Lonchura striata: one gene and its partners. The protein of the gene in region 2 purifies or fractionates together with the protein of the main gene of each other region. This does not show direct contact. Links are inferred from orthologs where the notes say so. Each region holds a gene or a part of one and is shown on either strand. Other genes may lie near its edges.

Evidence for each region.
Region 1: the proteins of CD9 (region 2) and ITGA6 purify together in Homo sapiens (co-immunoprecipitation; 3 studies listed by BioGRID and IntAct, with this or other methods). This does not show direct contact. The link is inferred for Lonchura striata from reciprocal best matches to the Homo sapiens genes CD9 and ITGA6.
Region 3: the proteins of CD9 (region 2) and PTGFRN purify together in Homo sapiens (co-immunoprecipitation; 8 studies listed by BioGRID and IntAct, with this or other methods). This does not show direct contact. The link is inferred for Lonchura striata from reciprocal best matches to the Homo sapiens genes CD9 and PTGFRN.

Annotation. Positions count from the first base shown.
Region 1 is NC_134610.1:20,603,686-20,611,437, reverse strand, and holds the start of ITGA6 (integrin alpha-6), read right to left. Parts: upstream 3,063-7,752; 5' UTR 2,968-3,062; coding exon 2,807-2,967; intron 1-2,806. UniProt on the Homo sapiens protein: Integrin alpha-6/beta-1 (ITGA6:ITGB1) is a receptor for laminin on platelets. Integrin alpha-6/beta-1 (ITGA6:ITGB1) is present in oocytes and is involved in sperm-egg fusion.
Region 2 is NC_134607.1:3,688,827-3,696,105, forward strand, and holds the start of CD9 (CD9 antigen), read right to left. Parts: upstream 3,019-7,279; 5' UTR 2,953-3,018; coding exon 2,887-2,952; intron 1-2,886. UniProt on the Homo sapiens protein: Integral membrane protein associated with integrins, which regulates different processes, such as sperm-egg fusion, platelet activation and aggregation, and cell adhesion.
Region 3 is NC_134604.1:14,647,375-14,654,607, forward strand, and holds the start of PTGFRN (prostaglandin F2 receptor negative regulator), read right to left. Parts: upstream 3,077-7,233; 5' UTR 2,997-3,076; coding exon 2,933-2,996; intron 1-2,932. UniProt on the Homo sapiens protein: Inhibits the binding of prostaglandin F2-alpha (PGF2-alpha) to its specific FP receptor, by decreasing the receptor number rather than the affinity constant. Functional coupling with the prostaglandin F2-alpha receptor seems to occur.

The DNA of each region.
Region 1 (7,752 bases), on a different chromosome or scaffold from region 2:
TAACTCTTCTAATTTGAAGATACTTAAAATCAAAATCTTGTTATTAGTCCATAGCTTTATACTCAGCACCGTTTACAACTAATGTCAAAGCAATTGAACAGTCATCTCTTCATAATGGTGAAAGTTAAGCAATTAGAAAACATGGCATTTGTAGCTAACACTAATAAACTAATTTGCCATTCAAAGCTAATATGAAATCCATAACATTCTGTGACTAAGCAAAAAAGATGGTCAAAAGCAAATACCATGTTTAATCAAAGGCTATTTCAGCTGTACCTTTGTCACACCTCCCAGACATTCTCCACCCGCATCTTTACAGAGGATTATTGCAATGATTAAATCACACTGAACACTCCTGTGTGAGGAAGAGGGAACCATTTCACTTAACAAATGCGTAAGTGAGGTAAGAGGAAAATTACACATAATTTAATTTGTTTTACCAAGCCATTAGCCCCTGAATACAATCAGTGTATTTTACTTTCTCTCATTTTCTTGTTTTTCCAAAGATGGACTAATCCTGCACATGCTTAATGACAACCTAATTTTGTAAAACTTGAGGGACAGAAAGGTGCTCAAACTGACAGGTTTCTTTGAAATAAGGGTCCCTGCCAGATGAGATTCCAAGTATCACTCTTAATTATGCTTCAGTATGAATTGGGAGTTTTTGTATTTTTGGCAACTACTTAACAGTATTCACACTCTAAATGTAACTGTATTTTGAAATTAGCATCTATTCAAGAAGAAAGGGTAAAACAGATACTTCTATCTGACTAAGAGATAGCTGTATATAAATTCACTTTTGCAGCATAGGTAAGACAGACCCAAACGCACCTGGGAATGCAGAGGTATTGCACCCCTGAGTCCTGCTGTTAAGTAACAGGCAGCATGAAGGCATTAGAAATAACTGTTTCTCAGCAGTAGACCTCAGTGTGACCTCCTGTTCCCATAACTTTCTACCTTCCCCAAGTATCCAGACAGCAGATACCATTTGTTCCAGCTATGAAGAATCCATCAATCCATGGAAAAGACCACACAAATCCTTTGGTATTAGCTCATCCTAGTTCATTTTTATCTGATATAAAAATGCAGCCTAACATGGAAGGCTTCTCTTTAACACTCCCCACCAAACCTCCTTCTTCAGAAGGCAGAACTCAAAGTGAGCTAAACACAGCTCAGTCCCTAAGACAGCTACAGTTCAGCATATTTAATGTCTTGTTCTCATAAAGCCACATACTACAACTCTTACAGACACAAAAATTATGTTCAAAGTGACTACAACATGCCTGTTTGACATAAAAGGTTTCATTCCAAGCATACTACCCAGCAGCTACCCAGGGTAGCTTTCCAATTATTTATGCTAAAACTCATGGATTTGAAAAATGGCCAAGACACCTCATACTCAGAAGCACATGTCACCATAAAACGCAGTTTGTCTAGCCTGGTTTTGTCTCTAATAGAGATCCTTGCTTCTCATGAAAGCCTGGATTCAGAAAGCCATGTCAAGGCAGATAGCATCTGGCTCTGCTCTTTGACTGCCTGAGGAAGCACTTACTAGACATACAATACAGAACTTTCATGCCAATAATCTCTGAAGCATTTCAGCCAAATAGTACATACCAGCTTGAATACTGTGACTGTCCTTGTGTTTCTGCTGCTTTTTTCTTCTCAGTAATTGGCTGTCTGCATATTCCTACACACTCATTCTGCCAGGACCGACAATACAACAGGAGACTAACAAGCTTCAGGCATTGCTTTCTTGGTCGTACTAAAAGAGTCTACTCTAAAAGTAGACTTATGCAAGCGTAATCCTGTCAAGAATTAAGATAAAGGCCTCTGGAAAGGAGCTCATAGATTTGCATTTCATTCCTCAGGATACTATGGGTCATTTTATCTGCTAGGTGGAAGATGAAACATGCGTGTATGTGACTTATACTCCTCTACACACTGTAATTTTTATGAAATCACACAGGAGCGCAAGTGTGAGCAAAATGAGCCCACAGGATTTTTCAATTTACCACCTAACTTTATGAAGAATATTATATCTTTCCAGCTTCCTCATTTCGTAAACTCTATATGGATAATGAATGTATCTGGCCTTGAATTAAAACTAAATATTTGAGGAGGAGGCATTTATTTAACAATAATACTTTACACTCACACGCTATCCAGCACTACTGGATAGGGTGGGGTCCACCACTGCTCCGCTATGGACACAAAGCAGCAAGGATGCTGACGATGTACACAGGAGCCTTATTTTGCCTTCGTAATTTCCCAAAAGAAGTTTCATGCATACATCACTAGCCCCGACTTATTTTTCCTAACTTCTTTGTATCACCTCTCATCTGCATTCCCGGGCAGGGTCTGTGTCGAACAGCAGACCCGGAGTTACCTGAGGCCGGGTATGCCGCGGAGCACAGACCCGAGCGCTGGGGAGGCTCCGGCGGCGCAGACCGGCGCGGCCCGCGCAGGAGAGCGCCGCGGCGGGAAGGGCTCCCAGCGGCGGCTGCCGCTCGCTTCCCCTTTCCAGCCTCGGCTCCGCGCAGGTCCCCGGGCGCGGGGCCGGCCCCTCGCCCCGCCGCACGTCCCCGCCGCTCGGCGCTGCCCCGGCTCCGCAGCGCCCCGCGGCAGGTGCTGCCCATCCCTCGGAGGGCCGCCGGCGGCCCGGCCCCGCTCCCGCCGCCGGCCGGACACCTCGCGGGGGCTGGCGACCCCGGCCCGCCGCCAGGGGAAGTTTCCCGGCGGTGGAAGGTAGGAGGGTCCCCGCAGGCGGCCCGGGACGGGGCCGGGCGGGGCGAGGTGCACTTACAGCCGTTTCTCCTGCGGCTGCAGCTGCCGGTGCATGGCCAGGGAGAAGCCGAAGAGGCTGCCCGTCTCCCCGCTCCAGCTGATCACGTTGTCCGTGTCCAGGTTGAAGGCGCCGGCCAGCCCCGGCAGGAGGGGCAGGTAGAGGAGAAGCAGGGCCGCCATCTGCTCTTGCCCGGCACGGGAACCTGCCGCCAGCGCCGTCGCCGCTCCCCGCGCCGAGCGCGCCCGTTGTGCCCCGCCGGCTCCGCGCGGGGCCCGCCCCGCCCCGCCCCGCCCTCCGCGGCTGCCCGGCCCCCGGCACAGCACAAAATGTCCCCGGGGCCGGGCCCCTTCCCCTGGGAGGGGCAGCCGAGGGCGTCGCCCCGCCCGTGACTCGCCCATCACCTCCCGGGGCCCCCAGGGGGCTCACCGTCTGCCGCGGCCGCGGGCTCGGATGGCTTTGCGCTTCGCGACACGAAATAAAGCCTTACCGAGGGGCGAGTCACGGCCGCAGGTGAGGAGCGGGCCGTAGCCCCCGTGCACCGTTGGGGAAAAGGGCAGAGAGCTCCCACGGCGGGGGGAGATGTGTTTGAGCCATCAAACCATGCCCCCCTGGGGGGCTGATACCGGTCTGGCTGCTGCTCAGCGCCGTCAGGTCGGTCCGGGTACCGACCATGGGCATAACATTGCCCAAATGTGCTAAGGTTGGTACAGAACTATGGACAGTATGATCCCAGTATTGAGTCTGTATTCCCCAAATTCCTTCATACGTGCAAGAGAAGAACTAAAAAAAAAAAGGACTGGGAAAAAAATAAAATCTCTCTTTTACCAGACTATTCACAGACCACATGAAAACAGAAACTGAAGACTACCTGAATCTCCTCCTCCAGCATTTCCTGTCTCTGAACATATCTGAAAATTTTTTATTCCTACCTTTTAATTGTTCAAAAACAGTATGTTGGTTTGGATCCCAGGTCATTTTCTCATGCTTTCACCCATAACTCCAAAAGCTTATTTGCCAGCATACCTTATCAACTTAACCCACTCCAGAGAAACAGAGAGGTTTTAGTTTTTGAACAGAATCTTGGTTTAGTGCTCTGGTTTAGGAAAGCAGATGCAAGTTTTTAAAACCTCACAAATTCTTAGCAGCATGACAATACTCAATTGTTCTTTTCTACTGGTATCTAGAGTACAAAGAGAGAAGAAGCTAAGATTCCAGAGAAACTGAGAAAAGGGCAATAGAGACAGAGCACTCAAATCTGTTGATACTCCAAATAACTCCTTCTGAAACAATACTCCCACAGAGTTAATCCAAAGTACTTTTTCCAGAGTAATTATTCTAGGATACCTCCATGTATAGACAAGTCTGGCTCAAGTCCAAAACACCCTTGATCAAAAGAGGGGAAGAAAATGCACCAGAATTGTGTTTCTAATGTGGAAACAAAACATTTTGTTAAATTAAGCTCCCAGATATTTATTACTAATAGAGTCCTTCCCTGCTTGCTCCTCCATGCCCAACTCCTTCAAAGTCTTAATCCAGTGTTCAATCACTGCCACAGCAGAAAATTGTACTGGCATAAATACTGCCTTAGTTTCACTTAAGGACCTGTAAGAGGGCAGGGTCCCAGACTAATTACAGGCTGTTTTACTATCATCTACGTATTTCACAGTAATTAGTAAAGATTTGAAAACAAGTCCTTTAAAACAGTGTTGATATCTGTACCAAAGTTTTAGCTGTTTTGGGACAATCAAAACTTGTGTGCTTCTAATACTCTTATAGTAACTATAGTTAATTTTTAAGTAATGCTTGTACTCAGTAACTTGCAAGAAGTCACAGAAGTACTTTCATCCAGAGCTTCCTGAATGATACTGGCACATTAGTTTTATTTTACTTCTCCCCCTCCCTCTAACCAGCACTGCCTGAGCATGTTGTACTTGTTTGTTCATATCCACAAAGATTGCTGAGGGGAGACAGAATTTTCTCATCTCCAGATGCAGTAACAAGCATTCCAAGACACAGTAACATTAACACCTGTCTCAAGGGACCACAGCAAGAACAACAAAAATAGAGTGTATACAGGGTGGAGCAAAACTGCACATGAACAGCTTAGAATTACCTTGGATGGTCTCTCATAATTCCGTACTATTTTCATTTGCTCTAGATGAGGAGAGAGGGGGGGGGGGGAAAGGTTTTACAAATATGTCAGTTTCCTTCCTTTGCTCTTCCTCCAAAATAAACATACTGTGAGTTATCTGTAGCTAACACATACTTCAGGAACTCCTCTTCTCTACAATCCTGGTATAAAGGGGGACCATACGAAGATTAGGTATGATGACCAATTAAACATGAGCACTCTGTTATGCATAATAACGCAGCGATTCTAACAAATGCAGTGGCCAGATCAAAGCAGTTTCTCTTTTTTGTAACAAACACTGTGCTATTGCTGAGTTTTCAAGCTGTCTGCTTATTAATGGTGTGTTGATAGTCGGCTGAAGGGCTACAAGATGTTTGCATGTTGTGTCTACACAATGAGCAAGCCTCAATGTGTAGACACATGCATTACTGCCAGCAATACTTTCCTCCTCTGTACAACTGCGTAGCTAATTACAAAGTAAAAAAAAAAAATCATTTCTGGAAAATAAAAGAGGTGGAATGCAGAAGCTAGAGCTTGGCAAGACATTTGAAGGGTTTCCCTAGAAGGAAGGCAAGGCACAATGTTTTACATTTCTGAAATTCTATCCTTTGTATCAACAATATACTGCACAAAGAAATACACAGTTTGTGGATGTTCAGCTGTGCAGCTTTAATGCAGCACATCAAATGGTCCTGAAAAGACAAAATATGTAAACATCCCCATCCCATTTCCTTTTAAAAACTGCTTGATTTCTTAATTTATGTAATTCCGGATGAAAAAAAATGATATCACCAAAAAGTTTGGTTTACTATAAAAGTTCCAAAGATACAGCATTGTTTCAATTCAGAAATATAAACTAGGTTTAAGTGTTAGTAGCCTGAATGGTTGGATGTTTTCTCTTGAACACAATATCCATACCATTTCTAGAACTGCACATTCTAGAAAAATTATATACATTTATTCAACAGACCCCTCTTAACAGCTACAAGAAACACCTGCATTTTTATGCAGCCAGGTTATCAGACTATCTTTGCCAGTATATCCTCATAGCTGTTCTTAGTTCCCTAACAATCATTAGAAATCGCAAACAGCAGCATGGGAGATAAAGGGGCTTCAAATGGTGATTGAAATAAATTGCTCAATACCATGTAAGCAAAATGTTTTGCTTTAAACAATCTAAATCCAGAGCATGAACATAGTTATATTTACACACTTGGTATTCTCACTTACACAGACATAACACTGATTGTATTTATGTCATTTATAACTGGATGAGGAATGTCTCCGTCTCTCTCTCTTTACTATTTTTTCAGAAAGGTAACCAAAATGCAGGTTTTTTACTAATTGCTCTATTTAAGCAACAGTTCCAAATGAAGATGTTACTACTTTCCTATAACTTTGGTTTTTTCTCTTTGATGTCTAAAACAACAAGATGACATTCTGCCATCCTTTACTTGCTTGTAATGTTAAAATATTTTATGTTGTTAGATGTAGTATTACACAAATAAAAATATGAGTCAAAAGAAATATTTCAGTCCAGACATGGAATTTTGGTGAACACTGAGACCAGTGTTCACCAAAGAACACTGAAGCACTTCTTTCAGTCTTTTACATCTAGAGAATGTTTTTCCACCCAAGTTGTCAGGTACATTCCTTAAGTAGTTTTAGAATGACGAGAACTGTTTGGAGAGTAAACATCTATGTAAACATACAAGGAGGCACTTAATGAGCGTAGCTGTGCAGAGATCAGAGGAACATTGGTGACAAATGGGAATCAAGCAGCCATAGTTTGTATTTCTATGGAAGGAATTAAAGATACACCTTCAAAATTACTTAAAACTAAAGCATAAAGTTGCAGCGATTTTGAATGTATGCCTGTGTTTTAATTCACTAGTAACATACACCACTGTGTAAGATTTGCCCCACCATAAGGCAAGATGAAGCTGAAACATCATTATACACATCACAGGCACCTTTGCAGCCCCATTCTGTGGTTTTCTCAGAGACATTTATATCCCCAAAGCTCTTACATTACCACAGCTGAAATTTGTATCACTGACTGCATCTCAGACCCATTCGTACCATTCATGCTTTTCTTGATCTGCCATATGTCCTGCACATGAAACCTTGCCTCTCTTGGAGAAATTTTCACCAGTGTAGAGAGACATAACCTGATACCAGATGCAAACTTTTGTGTAGTTCTAGCCAACTCTCCCTCAATGTGCATCTTAAATTAGTTAATTTGCACCAAAGCAGCCAACAATGGCGTATAAGGAAGCAGAGGAGATCTGAAAGATAAACAAGGTATTTCTTGGGTAGGTGTTGGCAGGGAGGGAAGAGAGAAGGTTTACAAGCAAGTTATTCACAGGCCCTCCCTGGAGATTTTCCCCAGGAATTTTGAAAGCAAGACAAACCTTCACAGGACATATTTTAACCCCATCAAGAGACAGAAAGGGTTATTGTTCAGGACACTTTCACTCTCCTAGCTCACAGAGACCTGACTAAAGAGCCTTTGGCCATCACCCAGAACACAATTCCACACAACTTTGATAGCACTTACCTCCAAGGACTGCACTGGGTGCTGATGCTGGACAGGACATGGCCCTGGGACAGAACCTGCAAGGCACAAGATCAGGAGCTCCAGTCACTCAAGGACTCTGGTCTCTAGGTCATGATCTAGCTTACTGTAACAGCACAGCTGAGAGCCCAAGTGCCTCTGGCAGCAAACTAGTGGAAACAGCTGCTTGGTCATTTCCACACTTGTTACACCTGTCCTCCCATCAGGCCTGGAGCAGACCCAGCTGTGAGGCCAGCCAGCTGGCTGTTAGCTTCC
Region 2 (7,279 bases):
CTGACCAGCACAGTGCTTCTCTCTGCAATAGCAGAGCTGCACCTCACCACAGCCCTGCCTCCACTCCAATACCCATCTACCTCATTCTTGCCAGGATCTTACTCCAGGACTGCCTGGTTTGCACAAGAGGCCTGAGATTTCCAGGAGATATTGAACAAGTGAACCAACGCCAACCAGTCCTCGCCTTCTCCAACATTCAGGCTTCTGCTCTAAGGCAGCATCTTCATGAAGTCTGACTTCCCCTTGCAGTAGCTAGTCACTCCTGTACATGTACACCAGCTTTTAAGGAATCTTCTCTCCAGATAGTCCATGTGTGCTACTCCCTGTGTGCTCCAGACTACCCTAAAGCAAAAACCCAGCCTCCAATTCGTTGCATTCCAGCTCAGAGAAGGGATGGTAGGCAGGGGGAGTTACCTAATCACAACTCACTTAAATGTTCTGAAGTGTTGTGTGACCTTGGAGAATTGTTAATCAAACATTTGCTGCTCCTCCTGTTTCACTTCCTTTGCATCAAAAGGTCAGTTCAAGCCTGTGCAGGATTCAGAGTCAAAGACAGGTTATGGCACAGAACTCTGTGAAAATCTTCCCCAGTAAAATAAAGTCCTGCTGAACATCACTCCCAAAACTTTTATACCTGGAGCCATTACTGTCTGGAAGAACTCCCTGAGAAACTCTTTTCCTCATGTGTCTGAGAAGGGGTATGTTACTTGGGTTTGCTTTTGCAAATTACTCCTAAAGCTTTCCTTTGGCTAACATTAGCAGCATTTATGAACCTTTATTTCCTTCCTTTGCATACAGCTTCAAATTTGAAAGTTTCAATTTTTATTTCAATAGCTTCCTTTACCAAGTTGTTTGAGACTTTCTACTTCCTCTTACCCTTGTTCAAGCCTCTGATGGAAGCAAGTACATTCCACCTAACGTGGCACCCACAGCCTTCTGTGCAGGGTTGCTGCAGACCACTGAAATTCCTGACCTATCCTTTTGAGGCAACTTATTTCAAAAAACAGAGGTACAGAATCGCACTTGAGCACAACAAGTTTTGTTAACACACTTCCATTACTTCACAGATTTTTCACATCTGCAAAGCCATAATAAAACATTACAGCCTTTTTTCTTATTAGGGTGGTTCTTGCCTTTTAATGCTGGCAGCTCCACAACACCTTTCTTTTTATGCTGTTCAATATGGAATAACCCAAGATACAGCTACTTTATTTCTCCATAGAGGACACAAGGTTTGCTAACACCATACCCCCTAAACTCCCCTTCAACTGTTTTCAGCAGGCCACAATGACATGTGGTGGTCCCCACAAACCAAGGATCACTCCAGCTGGTCAAACACTCCCTTATCTCTGGCTGAACCAAGCTGCTTGCATCTCACTGCCTCTTGGGGCCTCCAGACACTTACTGGGATCACCAAGATGCATTTATCTCCTTTTAATTCCTTTTTTCTTCCTCTTCTCTTTCCCACATCCTAGCTGCATACTGCTAGCCTCAAGAAGCCAACTTGAAAAGCCATCATCTCGCAGCTCCTCTGGGCAGCAGCACCACTCTCCTTCCATCCACCCCGTCACCAGTACAATTCTGTATTCGCGAGCACCCCTAAAGGTAGAAGTAAAGCCTGAGCACTTCATGATCATGACACTCCCAAGCGACAAGTAGATCCCGAGCTAAACAAAAACTCTCTCCCTATTCTCAGCCCTGGTCCCTAGACAAGCTGGTGAAGCTCAGGTTAAAAGCTTCTTTGAGGCAATGCCGTTGCCACAACAAGAATTTTTGTCCCATAAAATACTCTGCAGAAAGTCTACGGCTTTGAAATAAACAAACAAAAACAAGGCAAACCACGAGTACTTCAGTCTCGTTTAACAGGTTTAGAAACTCACTTGAATGTAAGTTTCAGACAATGTTTTATTAGGCTTTTCCTTCTGATCAGCTCTAACCCTGCAAATGCGACAGCGCTGCTGGCGAGTCCCGGGTGGCAAAATATGCTTTTTTGGGTCAAGTTTTGCACAGCTTCCCTCAACTGCAGCCCAGCTGTGTATTCTCAACTCTGCTGCAACCCATTTCGGCATCGAGACATCCCGAGCACTTCGCCCATTATTAACACGGCAACTTCCACTCGTCCCACGGGCAGTGCTGCGACTGACTCCAGACGCGGCTTCTTCCCGCAGCTCCAACTTCATTCCTCCACATCACAGCCACACCGCGGCCAACAGCCGAGAGAAGACGCAGCTTTTGAAGCCACACACTTTGCTCCTATCCGTCAGGCATACGAGCGGCTCCCGCAGTAATTTTCCACGCAGGAGCCAGCGCTAAATCGAGGTGCCCACGCCCCGAGGGCTTGAGGACAGCTCCAACCTCTCGGCTCAGCCATGCTTTCTCACGCCGGCCAGGAACCACACCGGAGACGCGATTCGAGGGGTGCCGGTCTGCTCCAGGAGATTAAACCCGAAGGGAAGCCACAGCTCCCACCGACAACGAGGAGCTCACACACACGACAACTTGCGAGGAGCCGGCTCACCTCGGGCTCAGCCCCGGCACCGGGAAAGCCGGCAGGGAGCCCGACCTGCGCACAGTTTTAGGGAGAGGATTGTGTGCAGTGCTGGGGATGCACAGTGGGAGCAGAATTGCACAAACCCAGCACCCCCTCCCCGCCTGGCAGCGCCCTCAACCCGCCTTTCGATAAAACCCCAAAAACGTGAAAAATAAAGCGGTGAGCACGCCGGCACCCGCTCCCTCTCCTTCCGGCGGGGGGCAGCAAGTGGAGAAACCAGCAAAAAACAGGCATCAAAAAACCAAACCAAACGCGGCTCCCGGCGCGTCCCCTCCATCCCCGTCCCGCGGGCTCCTCGCCGGGCAGCGCGGGGGACGCAGCCCGGGGCGCCTCACCCAGAAGATGAAGTTGAAGCCGAAGAGCAGGTACTTGATGCACTTGGTGCCTCCTTTGACGGGCATGGTGGCGGCTGCGGGCGCGGTCACCAGGCTGCCGCGCTCCGACGCCGCTCCTTAAATGCGGCCCTGCCCGGGCCGCTCGGGGACTCCCCTGCCCGCCCCCGGGGCCGCCCCCGGCCGCGCCCCGCACCTGCGGCCGCCCCTCTCCGCCCCAGGCCGGGCGGGCTCCGGCAGCGCCACACGGGGCCGGGCCCCGCCAGCCTTGGGGCTCGGAAATGTCCCGGCATGGAGGGGAAGCCCCGGGAACGTCGGGGTCCCGCTGCCGGCCCTGCGCGGCGCCGCCTCTGCGATCCCACCCTGGCAGGGTTGGGGTTGTGGCCATTCCCTGGAGAGCCCGCTCAGTGCCCCACCGCCGCCCTCTGGGTGCAAAACTTCCTCCTAATGTATAATCCAGCCCACCACCCCAGTCCGGCCTGCTTTTGGTACAGATCTCAGAACCCTTAGGGCTGGAAGGGACCTCTGTAGGTCACCCAGTCCAACCAAGGCAGCGTCACCCAGAGCAGGCGACACAGGAATGTTTCCAGGTGGGTTTGGAATGTGTCCTGAGAGAAAAGAATCCACACGCCCTCCCTAGGCAGCCTGTTGCGGTGCTCTGCCACCCTTATCGTAAAGAAACTCTTCCTCGTCTTGTGGTGGAACTTCTTGTTTTAGTTTATGGCCATTGCTCCCTGTCCTGTCGCTGGGCACCACAGAAGAGAGTCCGGCACCATCCTCTTGACACCTGCTTTGAGTTATTTATATGCATTAATGAGATCCCCTTTCTGACTCCTCTTAATAATCAGGCCCAGCTCCTGCAGAGATGGTCCAGAGCCCTCATCACCTTTGTGGCCTCTGCTGGATGTTTAGTTTAAAATGAATCCATCTAGCTTAAATGGATGTTTTCTCACACAAGATAAACTTACAGCGTAGTTCAATTCCTTTAATATTTCAAATATGTCTTCAAATATAACTTTGTATGAAATTACAAACATCCACTTTAGGAAAATAAGGCGGGTAAGTTTCAGCCTACCAACTGATCCATGGTAGCTGGTTGCACACGTGCTCTTAGGTCATCCCAGTTGTGAGAAAAAACAAGGTAAATTTCAACTAAGAATTTCCCTTTCATCGTAACAGGGTGTTCTGCACTCAGCATCTGAGCCTCTTAGCTCAGGGGTGAAAACTGAGGGCTTGTACCTTAATTTCATACAGTGGGATTAGAAATTAATCAGGTATTGAGAGTCAAAAAAACACCCAAACAGAACAGTAAAAACAGAAAAGCCATGCTGAAATGCAAATAAAAACATATTGGAGTTTTTGTTGCCAAAATAAAGGATAAGATACAGCACATTCCAGAGGCAATACGGAGGGGGAGATGCTGGCTTGGGCAGCTGCTTCCCAGAGCAGGTTACAAATCAGGAATACCTTTCCTATAAAATAAAGGGAAGCAGAGGGATGGAGGCCACAACAATATAGATGCAGAAAGGATGAAGTTAACAAATGCATGTGACTAAACTCTCATGGTAACTGGAAACTGAGCAAGGTTTTCTGTGTAACTTCTGGGTTGGTTTTCTTTTGACACTTTCCCATTAAGAATTTATGCTGTTAGTTAAAAAATAGCTGCTTGTAGGATTGAAATTTGTGTTTCATTCTATTGATTTTTCTTTCTTATTCCTTACCCTCCCCACTCCAATGCAGTTCTTAAATTCCTCTTGGTGGTTTTCCTTTTCTCCCTTCAGTTTTTTCTAACTGTTTTGAGAACGGAGGAGGAAATATTGCTGAGTAGAAGTTGCAGTATTGAATATTGTTCCTTTGAAGCTGTTGGTTCTTAAGATGTCATGTGAGGTCCCTGAGAAAAAAAAATGGTATGGAAGTATATTTCAAAATGAGCTGTCTATTTTTTGCCACTTTAGTGAGGTCATTGACTTCAGGACCTTCTGTGAGATGGTCAGATGAGCAAGAATAGGGTTTCCAAATATTTCTGGTTACAGACTCTTTGTGTCTTTGTGAGGTCTCTGGTCATTTCCTGCTGACCCCACCACAGATTGCTCCATAGCTTGGGAAGCCTGTGAAAAAGTCACTTCCTCTTTCCACCAGCATCTCTTTTTATACTTCATACATTTTTTCCTGCAGACCTGGAATGATATTCAGGGTTTGCAGGTGGGAAGTGCTGCTTTAGACCTCAGTGGATGGGTCACCCCAGCTGGTGTCACAGGAGGCTGGCTGTTCTTACCCATAAGAAAACTCTTAGCAGGGCTTTAATTGCCAGTGGTGTTGGACTGCAGCTTATCTTTTAATGAAAGGGGGCTTGTATACCATCTCACCTATCTGACATGCTGAAAATCAGGAATACCTTTCCTATAAAATAAAGAGAAGCAGAGGGATGGAGGCCGGCCACAACAATAATGATCCAGAAAGGATGGAGTTAACAAATGTATGTGACTAAACTCTCCTGGTAACTGAGCAAGGTTTTCTGTGTATCTTCTGGGTTGGTTTTCTTTTGTCACTTTGCCATTAAGATTTATGCTGTTAGGTAGCATCAGTAATATAGCTTCCCTTAAGTTTCTAAAATTAAGGATCACAGAAGAACTTTGGATAATTTCCCTCCTAGCTTTGTATTATTAAGCTTCTTATGCTAATATTGCGTTAAAACAACTTTCTTTAAAATTCATGGGCAGTAACCTTTTGATCAGAGGCAAGAAATGGACCTGTTCAATAAAAACCTCCTGTGCATTTGAAAAAAAATTAAACACTCCCCATTCACCTGGCAAATTAAGTTATGAGGAAGTAAAATGTGTTTGTACATCTTCAGTATTCTTGAGAATATGGAAGGAAAATAATGCTGTGGCTTGGATTTTTTTTTGTGGGGTTTTTTTTTGGTTTTTTTTTGGTTTTTTTTTTTTTTTTTTGTTCTTGTTTGTTTTTTTTTTTTTTTCCATTCCATACAAAGTATCTGGCGAGAACATTTATGTTTCACTCTTCCAGGGTGTAACGATCTGGTAGATGCAATTCTCTGACCACACCTGAACTTCTCTAACTAGTGGAATGAGATAGTAATCAACTGAATTTCTGCATAATAGAAATCACTAAAGGAAGTTAATGACCCTTGTAGAAGTACTTCACACTGATTTATTATTTTGACACTTTGTATTTGCATGGGATAATAGGCATTTTACATGAAATATTTATTATCTGCACTTAAAATTACCCTGGGTGGTTAAAGAGTTATTTTGTCCTGGCACAGAGAAAAGCAAATTCAGGATATTACTAACAAAAAAAAAAAAAAAACAAACAACCAATCAGAGTTTACCAGAAGCCTTTTAAAATTACACTTTCAACAATCTAGACCCAGCACTAACTATCTGTAGAACTTTTCTCTACAGGTAGGCTGAGTTATTTTATCCTATTTAAATGTGAAACTGAATGTCATGTTTGGGCCAATAGTGAAGAGGAGAAGCATTTGCTTCTCGCCAGGAAAGATTTTCTCCTCAGACTGCACAATCCAAAGGACCCTGATCCTTTGATTAATATAGGAAGGCAAAGGAGAGGAGGGGTTTCTCTCCTGACTGTATTTAAGGATGGTGGGATTCTCTGGTAAGAACTGCAGAATTCCCTGCCTCCTTGACCTGTTTTCCTGATATCCCTGCCTTAAGAATATTTGGAAGGACTAGTGTCAACTGGCTTGAGGCCTTTAACCTTCTTTGCATAAACAGTTCCAGGTCTTTTAAAAGGTTTTAGCTCCCTTAAAAAGCCAGGCATAAACGGTGGGAACTGCAGAGAGATAAAGTACAAGGCTTTCCCCACCAAAGGACAGGGATTAACAAATTTTTTGAGTGTCAGTTAAAGGAGAAATACAACAACAACATTTTGTTCTTTGTAGAAAAGTTACATCTTTGACTGCCCAAGCCAGTCACAAAATTAAAAACCTGAAGGTTGTTTTGCTTGCTTTTTAGCTTCAGTGATTGGGTTTTTTTTTAGCAGGGACTGTGATGCTGGGCTGGATCTGTCTGTCTGGTGAACAGTGAGGCTGTACAAACACAGTTCTCTGCTGTCAGGGAGTTGGGGATGGATTTTGAGAGGAAGGAGGAAATAGGAAGTCACAGATCCTATGCTGATGTCATCTGGGTCATCCTAAACTCTTGAGCTTGTCCATGGAAAATAACACTAACTGCCTTACTTCTGGTCTCACCTTTCCAAACTAATTTTAAGGTACTTTGGTTTATTTCAACACAGGAATATTTTGGAATGGTGATGGGTGAGTGGTTCCTTCCACATCTGAGGCTGTGAGCGAGAGGCTGGTCTTGGAGCTGGAGAGTCAAGACTGGCATTCCATTGCAAAATGGAATGAGTCACT
Region 3 (7,233 bases), on a different chromosome or scaffold from region 2:
TTACACTAATTACCAAAAGCCTTCTATTGCAGAGTTTGAATTAAACCTCGATTCAAATGACTAATTGTTGCAGCTTCTTAGGAAAAGAAACAAAAATAATTTCAGACACGAGATGCAGGAAACAACTCCATTCATCTAAACACACAGCTCCTGGGGTTCTGGCATGCTGGAACTGACTTTCATCATAGCAGACACTGAGTGCCACACAGGTCTAAAAGGTGAGTAAGAAAAAGGCCATCTCTGGGAAACCCATTATCAGTGGTTTTCCCCCAGGATCTACTGAGTACATGCTCTCCTCACTTAAAATGCCCCATAGCATTTTAACAAAAACATTTTTTTCCAGATCCACTGAAATTATTACCTCGAACCTCAAACAAGAACCAGGAAAAAAATCCTGGAGGTGGAATGCTTATTGTTTACTTTACTGTCTGAGCCCTGGTAACAATCAGATATTTGTTTTGGTTTTTGGCTTGGTTCTTGTCCTAGGAGAGATGGTTTGGTTTCCAGAGCATTTCACAGGTTGATATTAGGTAGATTGGCTGCAGAGTGAAATCACACATGAAACAGACAGAGCAAAATGCCCTCCTTTCTCAGGATCTAACCACACCAGAGGAGAGAAGAGAGACTAGATCAAGCTTTAGTATCAGGATCCCACAATCTCCTTACCAAACAGATTATAACTGTACTGGATCAAAAAGAAAGGATGATAAAACATTCTCATTCGTCACAGCCAAATACTTCAGCCATTTGCATCCTTTTACTGGATTATTTTGTAAATACCTGAAGAAAACAGTCAAGTCTAAGTACTCACAAGGGATAAACTTGTGTATGCTTCAGCTCCTTCCCTCCACCTCCCTTACACTAGAATTCCTCAATACTTGCAGCAAAAGCTCCAACCCATCTCTCCATTAAAGAGCTGCTAGAAATGGTTCACAGAAGCGTACTTCTCCCACCCAGAGTGAGAGAATGGCTACTTTCCAAACCTCTTAACCTTTGGAATATTTCACAGAAGTGACCAAGTAATGGTATCAGAAGATAGGCACTCTACAACACGCACTACAAATAAGACTACAGTTCAGAGATTTGTCTGCACACAAAAACACTTGCAATTTTAAAAGCATCATTCCAATAACCAAAAAAAGAAAAAATCCCCAAGAGACAACTCAGAACATCTAGACAAACCAGATCATGAACAATGGCCATATATCTCTGCATGCATACTTTTAAGTTCTTCTAATGATTTTATCTTGAATTAAGAAGGAAACAACTTTCTCGTTGTGCGTCACCCTTAATAGTTTTTACTTTTTGCTGCATGACCTTGAGCATCTGAGAGTCTTGATTTTCCGCTTGTCCTATTAAACCATCCTCTTGAAAAATCTTATCCCGTTTCTGTTTCTAAACAAAAATACTGAAGGTGAGCTCTCCAGCTCATGACTGTTTCCCCAGCTGGCAGCATGCCTATATTGTAAAGATAAACGAGATGACTAACGTCAGCTGCAAGTAAGAGAAAGCACAGTGGACACTTTTGTCTGGTAGGATCTTCTAGACAGAACACCCTCTGCCCCAATAGCCTGCAAGCAGCCTCAGGAAAAAGACTGGGACAAGACCAGGTTTAGGAAGCTGACTTTTCAACAGCAACTCTCAGCTCTGCAGACCTGGCTATGAAAGATTCAACATCCAAACAATGAGGAAAGTGCTCTGGCAGACTTAAGGAAAAAAAAAAGTCACAGCAAAGTCAAAAGTACAAGCACAAACTAAGCCAGTGAACAGAGTTTTGTTTAAAGAAGAGTGGTGGCAGTGTGGGGCTGGGGCACTGTTTAGCTACTCCTTCCACCCGAAATCTGGAAAAGGCTCCCACTTACTACCTGCAATTAATCAAGTGTTCTGAATCTTGAGCTACGCGGAGTGACTTGTGGGACACGCTTGCTCAGCTCATGTCCTTCTTGCTGCCCAGAGCTGACACAAAGCCAGTCAAACACTACTAGACAGAGCTATCTAATGCGAACAGTCTTCTCGTTCTCTGCTTTACATTCACTGCTACTTCTGTAACAGGGCTAGCAACAACGCTACAAGTACAATGTTGGGGGGGGGGGGGGGGGGGAAGGAAGAAAAGAAAAAAGAAAAGGAAAAAAAAATCCCACGACAACACAACACCCACCCTTTTCTGTAGAGCTTGCTCGTCTTTATTCCTGCACGCTGCCTGGCTGGCACTGACACCAGTAAGGAACAATGCCACATGTCACACTAACGACAGCTACACAATTACCTGAACGCAGCGTAAACCATCACCTACACAATTACACGCTATCTCCTAGCGGGAGAACTTCCCGGCAGAGGCAGCAAACCCCGGGAGCCCGGCGGGGAGGGCGCAGGGGAAGCGCCGCTTCCACCGCACCCCGTGCGCCCGGAGAACCCGAGCGGGGTGCGGGGCCCCTCCCGCAGCCCCCCGGGGGACAGGCAGGGGGGTCCCCGCCCGAAGGAGCGGCTTTACCTCCGCCAGGTGAGGTCTCGGAGCGAAGGAGCGCTCTCACCTCACCGCGACCACAGCCCACGCACCGGCTCCTTCACCAGCGACTACGGCTCCGCCGCCACGTTCCGCGGCCGGGGCGCCGCGGGACCCCGGAGCCGGCGGGAGCCCTCTCAGCGGGGAGCCCCGAGCAGCACCCGCGACCCACCCCGCTCCGGGGAGGCCCCCTAAAGTTTCGGTGAAATTCCCGGCGGCGATCCCCCGCAGGGAGCAGCGGGGACCGGGCCAGGGGCCGGCACAGCCCGGCGGGCACAGCCCGGCCCCGCCGGGGGCAGCGCCTGGCCGGGCTCCGCCGCGCCCCGGGCGGGCACGGCCCGGCGGGCGGCTCCTGCCGGCCCCGCCGCGCTACCTGCGGGCAAGGTGGCTGAGCACCCCCCGCCCTCCCCGCCGCGCACCCCGGCTCACCGAGCAGCAGCAGGACGACGAGGAGGAGAGGCAGGCAGGACGGCCTCTCCCCGCGGTGCCCCATGCTGGCAGGGCTGCGCGGCGCCTCTCCCTCGGCGAGCGGGACCGCGGGCGCGCAGGCTGGGCTGGCCCGGGGGCGCCGGCGGCGGCAGCGCTCCTCGGCCGGCCGCTCGCTGCCCTGCGAGCGCACGGAGCCGCCCGCCCGCCCCGACCGGCCGCGCCGCGCGGCGCAGCCAACCACAGAGACAAACTTTCCCAGGGCCCGCCCCGCCCGCAGGTAGCGGGGGCGGCGCGGCTCCGGCCCGGCCCGGCCCCTTCCCCTCAGGCGGGAGAGCGAGGGAGGAGAGCGGGCCCGGGGCAGCGCCTCGGCGAGCGGGGCCCCGCGGGGCACGGCGCTGCCCTCCGTGCCTCCCTCCCTTCTTCCCTGCCGGGCCGCCGCCGCGCACACGTGGCTGGGGAAAGCCCCGTGCGGGGAGGGCGGGCTCGGCGGCCGGAGCGTCCCCGGGACCCTCGGCGGCGGCCGCGGGCAGCGCGGGGCCGGGGCACTGCTCGGCCACTCGTTCCTGCCCGTCCGGCCCCGCCTCCGGGGCTGGGGTCCCCTCGTGCCCGCTCCGCTGTGCCCCCCGTGCCCCCTCTCCTCACATCCCTGCGCACGGGGCACCGCACACGGGTGGCGTCACTGCTGGCCCTGGCCCCAAGCGCAGCCCCAGCCGGGGCTGCCTGCTGTGCTGCGGACCGCCCCAGGGACGGGGGACACTCCTGCCCCCTTCCATGCCTGTGTAGCCTCAAAAGCCAGTGCCGGCTGTGCCCATCGTGTCCCCTGCCCTTCCACGGGCATCACGGCGATGCTGCCCTGCTCATGGCCTGGGTTAGAGCAGGAGAGCACACACACTCTCAAGTGTGTCTGTGCCCCAGGCACTTCGTGGACAAGACCACCGCTCCCTCCCCACTGATGCCAGGCAGCCCAACAAGAAGCATTGCTCTTTTTTGAGACTCAGTTTCTTTCCCCCTGCCTGAGATCCCAGTTTACTCAATAAGGGGCTGCTACAGCATGGCATTCGTGCCATCAACTCCCCCTTGCTTCCTTCTCAGCCTGCTCAGAGATTTTTGTTTGCTTGGGGATTTAATTTCCTGTTTGTTTGTAAAAACAAAGAGCAGAGGCACTGGGCGTCTCTCTAGTAATTCAGACAGTTATCTGCTCTTTCAGTCCCCTTGCCACGTTCTCTGTGAAATCTGTGCTCTCCTTGGGCACATCTTGCTGTCTGTTATCCAGGCTCTATGGTAGAGAGGGATCCACATTTTCCTGTGGGGGATCTCTGGAGCCTATGAATGGTTTGGGGCAGCTGTTCCTGCACAAAATGGCTGGTTTAGGTTTTATTCTAGCATCTCCAGTGCACCTTGCACTTGAGCATATACACCTTGCACTCAGTTTGGGCGGGGTTCAGGAAGTGTGTGCTGTGTTCTTGACTGAGCTTGATGATTATCAAGCTGGATTTTAGGCTGGACTTTGTTATTCCTTCCGTTACACTTTACGGGAAAGAGCGTGTTGCCTGATATGAATGAAATTAAACCCTCCTAAAACTGATGAGGATAATTTTCACTCTCCAGCCACAGTTACCTGAGCTCTTGCAAGGAGATTGACCTCTTTGCAGAGCTACAGCCACAAGCTGCCTGGAGAACACTTGGTCCTGTGCACAACTGAAGTTCTCCCAGCTCCCAGACAGAAAATGAGGCTGAATCCACAAATGTGACAGAGAAAAAACTGCCCCATCAAAACAAGGCTGTTTTCAAATATGTCCAAAATGCCCTCATATCCCTGCTTGTTCTTGCTGCCTGTTTCCAGACATTCTGCTCTCCTCCTTTAGCCAGCATTTAAGCACATTTTTTCTTCACTGGAAAATATCAGTTCCATAAACCAAGACGTCCCCTACATCAAATTCAGAAAGCAGGTTAGATGTCTCATCCTTACCAGTCAGCTTCTACCACACTGGTTAAACTCCTGATTGCAGCTTTAGTCCTGAAACCCTGCTATCCTGAGCCCTGGGTTGTGTTCTCAAGCACCTCTCACTTTTTTACTTCAGTAAGAACCACTTTTCCCCCCAAATATAGTCAGACTTCCAGAGTGAAGGGTCACTGTAACCCATTAATCTGACCCATATACAAAAGCCATAGATTTTTTCCTCAGCAGCTGGATCAAAGTGAGTTAGAAATACAACACGTCTTAAAGACTCCAAGTAATGGCAACTGCCTTCTTCCACCTACTAATTTATTCCAATGTTTAATTATCCTTGCTGCTAGGAAATTGCTTCTTTCAAGGTTGAATTTGTCTAACTTCAACTTTGAGACATCTGAACTTGTTATGCCTTTGCCTAGAAAACTGCACACCCATCCCATTTTCATGGATAAGCAACTATACATGGTGCTTCTATCACTTCTTGTTTAACTAAATAGATTGTTTTCTTTGAAGCCTCACATTGTAAGATGTAGTTTTGGTCACTGCAGATTTTTTGGACTCCAGTGTTTCTAAGTGGTTTTTTTTCACTTGCAGGCACCCAACATGGGTACAGTGTCATTGTGGTCTATACACACATGCTGTGCACATAGTAAATTTCTCAGCCATTGTTTTCCCCCTTCTCTCATAACTAAAAATGGAAGTAGACCATTTCTTGTGCTGTACAAAAAGCCTGTGGAGTTCATTACCCGTGTTGAGTCCCCAAATCTCTTTCTGCATCTGTGTTTTTCCTGAAAGCATATTTATCCTGCCATTCATTACTATGCTCTTCCCTCCTCAGAACATGGCCTTGCAGCAGGGTGTGTTAAAATACATTCTGTAACTGGTGGCAATTTAAGCACGTGTTTGAGATTCTCATTCAATTTGAGAGCCGTTTGTCCGAGGCTGGTAAATTGCCAGCACAGATGCCAGAAAGAGCAGGTCTGAAGCTGACCGCTGTGTTAGTCTACCTTCTCCTTCAAAGCCTGTTTTCTTCTCCTTTTTGTGTGTCCTATTTTCAATGGATTGTTACATGTATGTGATTATGTCATTTTTCCCCCTTGCCAATTCCATTTTGTATCGTTCAGCTATGAGAGCCAGTCTGAGCCAGAAGCTTTCTCCAAGTTGAGACAAATATCTTCCTCTGTTTTTGTGCATTTTCCATGTTTATTCATGAGCTGCAGAGTAAATACATGGTCAGTTGTTTGTTTCTCAGGAAGGCATCCCATTTGACTTTCAGTGTTTAGCATGTTGTTGATTTGAGTAGATAGCACATATTTATTTATTGATGATGCTGTAAAAATGCTTGCTTACGTTTCTTCATACCTACACTTCTGCATAATGTATAGGCTGAAAGTGTCTCTCATTTGGGGGTAACTAGGTTAGCCAGCAGAATTTCAGGGAAGGATCAAGATTGGAATGTTACATTAAACACACTATTATGCATGCACATGTTCATGAAACATGAACACACCCTGATCCTAAAGAAGCCCACACTCAACCACTCCCTGCTTGCACCACTCCCCCAACATACACTTGCTAGCTTTTGCAGTTTCTGTCTTGGCAAACATGAATAAACAACTTTTGCTCTCCCCACCTTGTTGCCTGAGCTGCAGAGGACAGGGTGAAATGTCTGTGTACAAGGCCCACAACCAACACGAAGCTCAAGACTAAAAACATTTAGAAGGGCTGTTCAACAGCAGAAGGACCCAGCACCTGCTTGATGAGGACCCAGCACTCTGCTTAGGGGCAGAGGTGCAAAAGTGCTCCTTTGATGCAGTGCAGATTGCAGGCTGCAAACCTTAACCAGGGGAGAAATCTTTTGGTGCCATTGCCTGGCATGTGGCAGCCAGGAGCTCTCCACAACAAACGAGAGGCGTAGGCAGACAGACAGGTAATGCCATGCTCCACTGCCCCGTCAGCAGCACAGCAGCCTCTAAGGCAGGAAGAGAGCTCTCAGTAGCTTCCAAGCTGTTTGCATGAGAACCCTGGGGAAAGGGAGCCACAGCACAAACATTGTCCTGGACACATCTGTGCAGGGCTGTGCCGTCTCATTTAAGGACTTCTTCTCAAGACCTAGGGACTTTATCCCCAGCATGCTGGTGAAATTCTACTTTGCTTGGTTTCATTCTGCCCCTAGGTTCCCTTTGTGTTTCCAAGCAGGCACAATACTCGTCTTCATTTCCTCTTCTCAACTCTTGTTAAATTTTGCCTTGCTCCAGTGAACAGAGTGCGTGTTCCAGCCAATGGGCTGTCCCATCACGGTTGTGGCTGACATGAGCGCCACGCTCGGGTTTGTGAAATGTTTCTG